Sus scrofa: one gene and its partner. The main gene of each other region encodes a partner of the protein of the gene in region 2 in a complex. Links are inferred from orthologs where the notes say so. Each region holds a gene or a part of one and is shown on either strand. Other genes may lie near its edges.

Region 1 (6,303 bases), on a different chromosome or scaffold from region 2:
GCCTGGGAACCTCCATATGCCAAGGGTATGGCCCTAGAAAAAGGCAAAAAGACTATATAGAATAAAATAAAAAAGGAAAATTCCGTTGTGTGGATGGACGTTTTGTCTATCCATTCATCTGTTGAGGACACTTGGCATGTTTCTACAATCTAGCTTCTGTGGCTAATGCTCCTATAAACAGTGTGCAAATGTCTGAGTCCCAGTTTCCAGTTCTCTGGGCCTGAATCTAGGAATGGAATTGCTGTAAGCTGATGTTTAACTTTTTGAGGAACTGCCAGACTGTGCTGGCTGTTTCACTGCATATATATGCCAAAGTCTCGAATTCAAATGTCCGCAGGGGCTGGGCGGGGAACATAACACGAGCACAGCTTGTCCCAAGGGGCAGCCACCTCCTGCCTCCCAGTTGGGGCTTGCCGTATGGGAGTGCCATTCCCATGTTATTGGAGAAGGCTGCAGTTGTGGATTTTGCCGTTGTTTATGGCAGGTGATTCAGATGTTCTAAAAACCCTGCATGGGAAACAGAAAACATACTTGTGAACCAGATGCCTTATTATTATTATTTTTTTTTCCTTAGAGCTGCACCCACAGTATATGGAGGTTCCCAGGCTAGGAGTTGAATCAGAGCTGCAGCTGCCAGCCTACACCACAGCCACAGCCACGCAGGATCCAAGCCGTGTCTGCAACCTACATCACAGCTCATGGCATCGCCAGATCCTTAACCCACTGAGTGAGGCCAGGGATTGAACCCACAATCTCATGGTTCCTAGTTGGATTCGTTTCTGCTGCGCCATGACGGGAACTCCCCCAGATGCTTTAAAAAAAAAAAAATCTCCACCTTCCAATAGTTCTGTAATATTTTGTGCCCTGGAGTTCCCTGGTGGCTCAGCAGGTTAAGGATCTAGCATTTTCATTGCTGTGGCTCGGGTCACTGCTATGGTATGGGTTCGATCCCTAGCCAGGGAATTTCTGCATGCTGTAGGCACAGCCAACCTCACTGTTTTCCCATCCTGGTCTGGTGGACAGGAACATCCTTACCTAATCATTTTCTGTAGCTTGGTCCCCCTCCCTCCCTCTCTCTCCCTCCCTTCTCTCCTTCCTTCTTTCCTTCCTCCGCACCTGCAGCATATGGAAATTCCCAGGCTAGGGGTCGGATTGGAGCTGCAGCTGCCAGCCTATACCACAGCCACAGCCACACCAGATCTGAACCACATCTGTGACCTATGCTGCAGCTTGCAGCAACACCACATCCTTAACCCACTGAACAAAGCCAGGGATCAAACCCGCATCCTCATGGACATTATGTCAGTGGGAACTCCTGTGGTGGCTTGATTTTTGATTGTCATGCCTCTTTCTACAGTGGGACAGGGAGACAGGACCAAAATTTCTGTAGCTGATTCTCCACTGCTAGACTCCAGGGCTGTTCTCAGTTTGTATGATGAACAACCCTGCCATGAATATCATGATGTGGGCCTTCTGGAAGGTGTAGGTGACATAAGATTTAGGGGGGACCAACAGGCACCCTTCACTATGGTGACCCTGTTCATGGGTTGGTGAATTTTGTTCCAGGCTGCAGCAAACAAGTTATCATCTTTTTACCCTAACATTCCAGAGGTTAAGGGTGGGGTGGGGGAAAAGCCTTATATAAAGAACGTATTTTTAGAACTTTTTATTGGCATTTAAGTAACAGAAAAAAATGTGTGGCCACTCTCGCAGGGGTGGCCTCTGCCCCACCATCCTCCTCATCAACCAGCACTGCCCATCTTAAAAGTTCTACCCACTGTCACTTTTGGTGTCTCGTCAGCACTGTGTCTGTGGGACATTTGTATTGCTTTATGCTGTGTGGTCTGTCCCTTGCTGTTTAGTATATTTCATTGTGTGAATTGACTTGGCTGGTAGCTAAAGGCAGAGCTGTCCGTTGAGAAGCCAGGTGGCTTCCAGGATCACATGTGTTATTCCAGGTTCCCCAGACCCCCAGGACTCTAGCCTCTGCCCCAGCTGTTCCAAGACGTGGCCTAGCCAGGTCATTTGGGCAGCCGATGCTGATGCCATGTTGGGTGTTTTGCAGTTTGTAGATGCAGACAACCTGATCCTCAACCCTGACACGCTGAGCCTGCTCATTGCTGAGAACAAGACGGTGGTGGCCCCCATGCTGGATTCCCGGGCCGCGTACTCCAACTTCTGGTGTGGGATGACTTCCCAGGTCAGGGGGCTGCTAGGGTAGAGCAGGGGCCTGGGGGTGATGGGGGCTGGGCTGAGCAAGTGGAGGCTGGGTTTGAAATCTAACTTATCATTACACTGCCTCATGGTGAACATTTAATAAACACCATAGTGGTAATCCTTAAAGAGCCCCTTGAGGGAAGGTCTGTGGTTATGTCTTGTTCCCTCCTAATCCCCACTACCCCTATCACTGAGGCAGAAACTCAAACACAGAGAGAGAAAGTGACTTGCCTCGGCTCACATGGCTGTGAAGTGGTGGTACCAGGATGGGACTTCAGGCATGGCTTGATCCAGGTGTTCAAACAGTATTCCTCTTCCTCCGTCCCTTGGGTGGTTTCATTTTCAGACTCCTGGGGAGTGATCCCAGGATCATTTAGCCAAAGTCCACTCTGATCCTTGTCCAGTCTCCTCCTACTCTGGAAATTACTGAAACCTGGAAGATGCCAGGCTCTGATTGTCCCACCCCAGGGTTGAAGATGGGGTTGTAGGCAAAGCCAAGGGGAGTGAGGGCCAGGTGCTGGAGCAGGGCCCTGCCAAGGAAGGGAATCAGGTGGCTAGAGCCAGGATGCTGATCCATCTTGTCCCCTCCTATCTTTTTGTTTTGAATTGATGTGTAATGTGCAAAATCCTTGCTGATCAGAAATGGTGAGCTGGGTTCTGCAAGTGAGTGACCCTTTCCCTGTGTTTCTCTGCCATTGCCCAGCACCTGAGGCTCTGGGGTTGTAGATTGACTGGCTCTGCCCAGAGCCCTGTGCTCAGGAAATGCCCACTGCAGCCAGAAGCTGGCACCCGGTCTTACTCTCCAAGTGTTCCATGCCTCCCATTGCCTCAGGCCCCAGCCTTACCCTTGGGGACCCCCAGACAGAACTCTGCCCCTTCCCCACAGGGCTACTACAAGCGCACGCCTGCCTACATCCCCATCCGCAAGCGGGACCGCCAGGGCTGCTTTGCAGTCCCCATGGTGCACTCGACCTTCCTGATCGACCTGCGGAAGGCGGCATCCAGGAACTTGGCGTTCTACCCTCCCCACCCTGACTACACCTGGTCCTTCGATGACATCATTGTTTTTGCCTTCTCCTGCAAGCAGGCAGGTGAGCTCACGGGGGGTTCGCCATCACGAGTTGTCTCTCTGGTTCTCTGCGACCAGTGCTGAGTCCATGAACTGTTCACAGAACCAGAACTGCAGGGTGTGGGGATGACCTCAGGTGTAGCTGTATCCAGGTGTTCAGATGATGGCCCCAGGGTTCATTCTCTCTCTGGCCCTGGCTTTGCCGGATGGCTTCACTTTCTAGGTCTCTGGGACCTACTTACTGAAGGTTATTTCTGTCTCAGTATTTTTCCCATTATCTGTAGCTGAGCGTAATAATTCCCTAATTGTATAATTAGAGGGGGAAAAAGTTTAAAGAGAAACACAACCATGACACATAAAGACAGCATAAACACAGCCATATGCAGATCTATCACTTATTTTAAACCATGGGTCAGCAAACTATGGCCCATGGGCCAAATCTCACCCACCATCTCTTTTCCTATGGCCTCAAGCTAAGACTGTCTTTTGGGTTCCTAGACCCAATACTAAATTCCTATGTGTATGCGTAGAGGTAGGGGTTCCTCACGCCAGCCAGCAATGCTGGGAGCCATTTAAACTCATTCTGACCCTGCCTGGAGGTAGCATCAGATTCCACAGGTTAAAGGCTCAGTCCCCACAAACTGTCCTCCCACTCAGCTTCAGCTGCTGGTCACAAACCCAGCTTGTCATCTGTGCTTCCGACCAAATGGCTATAAATCAGAGGTTCCCTCGACCCTTTTCTTGGGTTCTGCTCATTTGCAAGAGCAGCTCTTAGAACTTGGGAAACCCATTTACTTGTGGGATTACTGTTTTTTATAAAAAGATATAAAACTCAGGAACAGCCCAAGGGGAGAGATGCACAGGGTAAGGTGTGCGGGAAGGGGGCTTCCATGCTCTCTCTGGGTGCACCGTCCCCCTCTCACCACCTCCACATGGTCACCGACCCAGAAGTTCTCCAAACCTCGTCCTTTGGGGTTTTTATGGAAGCTTCCTGACATCAGTACAGTTGATTAAATCATTTCCCTTTAGTGACTGATTCTGCCTCCAGCCCTCTCCCCACCTGGGGGTGGGACTGAAATTTCCAATCTCTAATCTCATAGTCAGGTCCCCTGGCAACCAACCCCCAGGTTTAGGTGTGTTCCAAAAGTCACCTTGCTAACATGACATGAGAAGCACCTTTTAGCTCTTACCATGTAGGAAATTCCAAGGATTTGGGGAGCTGTGAGCCAGGAACTGCAGACAAAGACCAAATATATATATGAAAAATCACAGCATCACAGAATGGTATTTTATGTTTTTAAATGGCTGGAGAAGACAAAAAGAAGCATGGTATTTTGTGACATCTGAAAAATGATAACGAAATTCACATCTCCGTGCCCATGAATGCAGTTTCATCGGCACTCAGCCACACCCATTAGGTATTGCTTCTGGCGGCTTTCATGTTCCACAAGCAGAACTGAGTCACTGAGACCAGAACTGGCCCACAAGCCTAAAGATTTACCATCTGGCCCTTTAGTGAAAATCACTTTCAGTGGGTTTTTTTCACTTAAAAAAAGAGATAACATCCTCATTATAAAATTTTAAACTTTGGAGTTCCCATCGTGGCTCAGTGGTTAACGAATCCGACTAGGAACCACGAGGTTTTGGGTTCGATCCCTGGGCTTGCTCAGTGGGTTAAGGATCTGGCGTGGCCGTGAGCTGTGGTGTAGGTTGCAGACCCGGCTCGGGTCTGGCATTGCTGTGGCTCTGGTGTAGGCCGGCGGCTACAGCTCTGATTAGACCCCTAGCCTGGGACCCTCCGTATGCCATGGGAGCGGCCCCAGAAAAGGCAAAAAGACACAAACAAACAAAATTTTAAACTGTTCAGAAAAGGACACAGGTAACATTACTAATGGTTGGTCCAGTTGCGTCTCCTTTGTGTGCAAAAATGCCTTTACTGTACACCAGCTGTTTTGCACTTTGCTTTGTCTTAGACTCCTATAGGGGTTAAGCCAGCACTGGTGCAAAGTGCTTATTAACACTCAGAGTTTTGGGTCTACGTGCTTGGCACCGTGAACCCCTGTTCTGGCTCCAGGTCCCAGACGGAGCGCCGAGCAGTCTCTGCCGGTTGCTGGGAGGAGGTGAACCCGTTTACGCGCCAGCCCGGTGCTGGGCTCTGGGACTAATGCTGCTGTTCAGAGGCTAACACCTCTGCTGCCTTATTGCTCCATTTTCACTTCTGCTCCTTGTTTCTTTTTGGCCACAGAAGTCCAGATGTATGTCTGCAACAAGGAGGTATACGGCTTCCTGCCGGTGCCACTGCGGTCACACAGCAGCCTCCAGGACGAGGCTGAGAGCTTCATGCACGTGCAGCTGGAGGTCATGGGTGAGTCTGGCCATGCCACCCTGGGAGGGCTGAGTCGCCTCCCTCTCCCCGCCATCTCGCATCTATCTGTAACACTGACTGAGTGCCTGCCGCGTGCCACTCTCTTCACTGGGCACTGGGAACCTGAGGTGAACAGGTGGACAGTTGTCCCTGCTCTCACAGAGCACCAGCTTGCAAACAGCTGTGCACATCATACTTGAGGAAATCAGAGTGGGCTTTCTGGTAAAGGTGGCATTAAGATGCAGGGTGGGAGTTCCTATCGTGGCTTAGCAGGTGGGGCATCTGTGGTTGTCTCTGTGAGGCTGCAGGTTCGATCCCTGGCCTCACTCAGTGGGTTAAGGATCCAGCGTTGCTGCAAGTTGCAGTGTAGGTCACAGATGTGGCTCGGATCTGATGTGGATGTGGCGTAGGCTGGCAGCTGTAACTCATATTCAACCCTAGCCTGGGAAAGTCCATATGCTGCAGGTGAGGCCGTAAAAAGAAAAGGAAAAAAAAACTTGCAGGCTGAGAAGGAGTTAGCAGGAAAGAGGATTGCAGTTGGAGGGCGAAGCATGTGCAAAGGTCGGGAGGCCGGAGGAGCTGTGAGCTCAGGAAACAGGCGGGGCTGGTAAGTTGGGCAGGGTGGCAGGCAGGGCCAGGGCAGAGGCCTCAG
Region 2 (5,097 bases):
GTAGATGACGGGCAGAAGGATTTATTCCCTAAGGAGTGGCTTAGGCCTTTGTGGGGAGACCTCCAGTGGGAAGGGATTGGTGGGAAAGGCCAAGGACTGGGGAGCCCCTCCAAAAGAGAGTGTGACTGGCTGTGGGCACACCCTCCAAGAGGGCTGGGGTCAGTCCCCACCATGAACGTAGCCCAGTCTGGGGGTGGCCAAGCGGCCCTGTCCAACACTGACCGAGACCTATGGAACTAGCACTTTTCCCAGGTCAGGGGATGTCACTTTTTTTTTTTTTTTTTTTTTTTTTTTTTTTTTTCCTCCTGGCTGCCCAAAAGCATATGGAGTAACCGGGCCAGGGATCAGATCCAAGTCCCAGTAGCAAGCTATACCACAGAGGCAGTAATACCAGATCCTTTGACCCACTGTGCTGGCCAGGGATTAAACCTGTGTCCTGGCACAGAAGAGACACCACTGCCCATTGTGCCATAGCAGAAACTCCTTTTCTTAATATATATTTTGAGGGCTATGCCTGTGGCATGCGGAAGTTCCGGAGCCAGGGATCAAACCCAGTCATGGCAGCAACCCAAGCTGCTTCAGTGACACCACCAGATCCTTAACCTGCTGCACCACATGAGAACTCCTGATAACTGTGTGTTTTCTATGTCTGTGAGTCTGTTTCTGTTTTGTAAATTTAACTTCCTTTGTATCATCATTTAGATTCCACATATGAGTGATATCATGAGGCATTTTGTCTCCGGCTTACTTCACTTAGTACATTCATCTCTAGGTCCATCCACGTTGCTGCAAATGGCATTATTTCATTCTCTGTCATGGCTGAGCCATTGCATATCTAAGGAACAACGTTTCTTTAGGGAAATCAGATACACACTAGTCAGGAGCCTCTGTCACATTCTCTCCTGGCACAAAATACTTTCCCTCCATCAAAGTGACTTTCCTTCTTTTTTTCTTTCATTTATTTTGGCATTTCAGGGCCACACCTGTGGCAAATGGAGGTTCCCAGGCCAGGGGTTGAATTGGAGCTGTAGCCACTGGCCTACATCACAGCTCAGAGCAACACTGGATTCTTGACCTGCTGAGCGAGGCCAGGGATCGAACCTGCGCACTCATGGGTGCTCATGAGATTTGTTTCCACTGAGCCATCATGGGAACTCTGCAGCGGCTTTCTGATTAAGGTCTCCCCACGCTGTAAGCAACAGGTAGAGAATATTGTGGTCAGCACTGCAGCCCTTGTGATGGGTCCCCAGCACTTGGGTGATGCTCCATGAATGAACAGTGGGTCTGTGGGAGACAGGATAGGCCAGCTTCCAGTGCCCAGGACTTACCGCTCAAGGCTGGCACTCCCTTTCTGTCCCTGTCCCCTGTCTTGCATGCAGCTTCCCTGTCCAGGAAACTTTTGCCAAGAGGTATTTTCTCCTGTCCCTGCTCAGTCCATTTCCACCCACAGGACATGTGATGAGGGTGGCAGGGGGCCAGGGTGAGATAGACTTTGGAGTCTGGGCAGAGAGATGCTCAGTCCATGTGGAAAAGACCCACTCCACCCTCCCTGGCAGCCAGCACCACCCACTGGAAGGAAGGCTTCTTGGAGGACATTTTCCTGGGAGTCTGGGCAGGAGGAAGGAAGAAGGGGAATCTAGCTGGGGGTGCAGTGGGGTACCAGAGCCAGGAAATGTCCTAGGACAGGTGAGCAGACCTGTTTGTTTTTTAAAGGCTTCTGTAAGGGAACATGGGGAGATAAATTCAGGAAGGTGGCTGGTGTGAGGCTGGGAAAGACCAGGTTAAGGGGCCTGGTCTACTGTCAAGGCACTTCCAGGGGTCTCGGCAGGGGCTGATGGTCCCCTTGGGGTTGGAAGCAAGGCCAGCTCCAGGAGGTCTCCTCTTTTTCAAGGCTGCTTCCCATCCCTCTCTTCCAGGAAGCTTTCTTGGGTTAATCTTCCCGATTCCCTTCTGATCCAAAGCAGCTACCGTCAGGTTCCAGCCTGTCTTCCCTTATAGAACACCTGCCCCCAGGAGGGCCTTCCTTCCCTAGCACTGTCCCTGCAGCCCAGCTCAGGTCTGTGCCACCCCCAGCCTTCACACGAGGGAGAAGATGCCATCAGGAGAGGAGAGAATAGAAGAAGAGAGCTGAGGAGGTGGGTTTTCACCTGAGCCAGACAAGGGAGGCCCTTTTGGTCTGGCCCTCATGCTCAGGCGATGACAGGGAGTTAGATATGGGGTCGCAGGAAGCTTCCAGGCTCCCACTCTGCTTTGGCATCATGCTTCTGCCTTTTCGTCTTTTCTGTTCTTTTCCTTTGGAGTGACCCCGGTCTCCCCTTCACTCTGGGTGGCGGGAGGGACATGGGGTCCAGAGGTAGATCAAAGAATCAATGGACGCGAGAGTTACAAATCCTCCTTTATTGAGGGAGACTGAGAAACAATAACTTATTACATGGCGAACCCCTAGAAGCCCTCTCCCTGGGAATGCTTGGGGGCTGAGGAGCAGGGCAAGGGGGCTTCCTGAGCTTCCCGAGGGCCGAGGGCCGTGTGGTGGGGGCGGGGCAACACATTCAGTCCCAGACACACGGAACATGCGCCCGAGAGGCAGGGCACACCCCCTCCAAGGAGGGAGCGCGAGAAGGCACAATGGCAGGGAAGGTTGGGCAGAGTGGTTGAGTGTCAGGGGTCGACAAAGGACACCATGATATAGCGAGTGCCCCGTGTGGTGGGCAGCCCCTCATGGTAGTGGGTGAGACGGCCAGGGTGCAGGAGCCCCCAGCCCTTCCGTGGGGACGAGATCACACAGTCGTAGCGCAAGAAACGGCAGCCGCCTCCCTGGAGGATGAGAAGGGGACGGGGTGGAGTGTGAACAGGTGCGGGGACTGGGCGGCAGCCAGGCACCCTGGTGGCACCCTGAAGTGGAGCGTGGCAGGGACCCACCTCATAATCCAGGCCCTTGTGGTTGAGGGCAACGTTGAGGGTGAAGGTGGATGAGTCGTGATGGGGCCGCAGAGAGGGCTGCTCATCCGGCCGGTAGCGGACCACGAAGTTCATGACCGCCCGGGTCTGTGGGGACATGGGAGGAGAGGCTGGAGGTGGGGGTCCTGAGGTCTGGGGAGGGGGAGAGGTGGCAGGGGCTCTCATGCTACCCCCCCCCAGGGGGGCTGCCTTCCTGCAGGATTTCACTCCATGGGGTCCCAAATGCCTCAGGAACCCAAAAGGGTGCTGCATGGAGACGGCCAGCCGGGTTCTAGGAAGGTGGAGTCAGGGTAGCAGGTTCAGCGGTCACCTTGGTGTGGTAGCCTGGGAACAGGCTCTCGGTCATGGGCCCCACATATGTCCTCAGCAGCTGCAGCCACTGGTCCTCATAGCCCACCTGCTTCATGTGGATGTCTACGGTGGGCACATTCTCGTAGCCTCCAGCCAGCCTTGAATCCTGCGGGCAGTGGGCACTAAGCTGACAGGGCAGTGCCAGCTTCCTCATCTGCTCCCAGGCCTTAAAGCTTATGTTCCCTCCATCTGGAAGTCTTGACTCCTTAGCTTGACTCACTCCTGCTGGGCCTCTGAGTCTCAGGTAAGATGCCACCTCTTCTGTGAAGCCCCTTGGTCCCCCCATGTCTGGGGCATGGGCCCCTCCTGTGACTCCCACAGCACCTGGGCTGCCCAGCACAGCCTTTAGAAGCTGGGTCACTGCTGCTACTGACAGCAGGTGAGACCTAGGAGAGCAGGGCTCGACCCGTACAATTCATCAACGCACTGCACTGCCAAAGTCAGTGGCTGGCATCTAGGACCCACCTAGCATTTCTTGAATGAATGAATGAATACAGTTGTGCCCCTTCCACTTGGGGACCCCTTTCTGCTCCCACTCTCTAAATTTCATTTTCCTTTCACCAGCCCCAGCCTCTTCTTCCTCCCAGGGGCCCTCCTGCTCCCCTGCCCCAGCACCCCACCTCATGCCGGCCTCCTGACCACTGGCCGTAATGCTCCATTTCTTCCACCAGCTCATCACACATTTGCTCCGACAGCAGAGGGAACCAGTACACATCTGGGCAGGGCTGAGGACAGACGGGGCGGGGGAAGAACAGGGCAGGGTGACGCTCGGGGAGCGGATAGGCAGCCAGTGGAAGGGAGAAGAAGCAGGGAGCAGAAAGGGAAACCAGGCCATGAGAGAATGTGGAGGAATGGGGCTGGACCAGGAGAGGGTGGCCAGAGAAGGTGGGCCCAGTGCTGGAAACACTGCACAAATGGCACGGGAGTCCCAGGGCTCCCTGCCGGAAGCATCGTTTTCAAACTTGCTGTAAAAAAATGTCATTTCACCCATACATGAATATACCCATAGACAAGAGAGGACTGCTCTGATTAAAACCAGGGTGGGGGCTGCAGGCTTATTTGCTCAGCCTTTGCCCTCATCTTACCCGAGCTGAAGACCTAAGGCAGCTGGGAAGGCATCGGAGAAGCACTAACCCAGGCGGTGGACTCAAGGGGCAATGGCCAGCAGGGTCAGGGTCTGAGTGGGGCTCACCTGTTCCACGAGTCCCTCTCCTTCAAGGGCCCGGCTGTAGTTCTCGTGAATATACTGCTCTTTCCAGTCCTGGGGGAGCGAGAGGGGGCGCACCTTGACCACCTGTGCCCTCTTTACTCCCTCGGCGCCCCCAGGGAGCCCCTCTCCAGGCAGGAGGCCCCACACAGCGCACACATGTGTGGGCTGGGGATGGGGCGTCAGCCTTTGGCGAAGGGCACCTGCCTTCTGTGCCAGGGCTGCCTACTCACCAGGGGGTTGTCGAAGATCTGCCAGAGGTCGGGGTGCAGGTGGTCTGTGTCGTACCGGGAAGTGGCCAGGAGGCGGCCAAATTCGTGCCGATTGCTGAGGTGGAGGAAGATGCCCTGGGTGAGGGGGGAGGGTGTGAGAAGGGTGACAGAGATTGAGGGGGCTGCCTCCCAGCACCCCCGCATTGAGCCCCAGGTCCCGCTCACCTTGTCCCGCACGCTCTTGCAGAAGGCCATGTCCGGGTCAGTGTCGCTGCCCGAGAACACCTCCCTCTGGGGCAGCTCTGTCCTCAGGGTCTCCCCCCGGATCACGTAGGCCTGCGATATGTAGGGCACGTTCCACACGCCCCT

What was found.
Region 1: the proteins of PLOD3 (region 2) and COLGALT1 are in contact, whole or in part, in a cryo-EM structure (PDB 8ZGE), measured with the Homo sapiens proteins. The link is inferred for Sus scrofa from reciprocal best matches to the Homo sapiens genes PLOD3 and COLGALT1. Residues at the interface, in NP_001075.1 of Homo sapiens: Leu226, Val229, Val230, Leu231, Lys232, Phe233, Asp234, Arg235, Arg241, Gln261, Tyr264, Leu265, Pro275, Gly430, Ala431, Leu432, Arg440, Glu442, Glu446, Arg452; in NP_078932.2 of Homo sapiens: Ala36, Tyr37, Phe38, Pro39, Glu40, Glu41, Arg42, Trp43.

What each region holds. Positions count from the first base shown.
Region 1 is NC_010444.4:60,148,411-60,154,713, reverse strand, and holds part of COLGALT1 (procollagen galactosyltransferase 1), read left to right. Parts: intron 1-2,065; coding exon 2,066-2,200; intron 2,201-3,103; coding exon 3,104-3,308; intron 3,309-5,531; coding exon 5,532-5,651; intron 5,652-6,303. UniProt on the Homo sapiens protein: Beta-galactosyltransferase that transfers beta-galactose to hydroxylysine residues of type I collagen. By acting on collagen glycosylation, facilitates the formation of collagen triple helix. Also involved in the biosynthesis of collagen type IV.
Region 2 is NC_010445.4:8,909,405-8,914,501, forward strand, and holds the end of PLOD3 (procollagen-lysine,2-oxoglutarate 5-dioxygenase 3), read right to left. Parts: intron 5,096-5,097; coding exon 4,750-5,095; intron 4,571-4,749; coding exon 4,502-4,570; intron 4,035-4,501; coding exon 3,930-4,034; intron 3,416-3,929; coding exon 3,269-3,415; intron 3,046-3,268; coding exon 2,920-3,045; intron 2,815-2,919; coding exon 2,659-2,814; 3' UTR 2,383-2,658; downstream 1-2,382. UniProt on the Homo sapiens protein: Multifunctional enzyme that catalyzes a series of essential post-translational modifications on Lys residues in procollagen. Plays a redundant role in catalyzing the formation of hydroxylysine residues in -Xaa-Lys-Gly- sequences in collagens.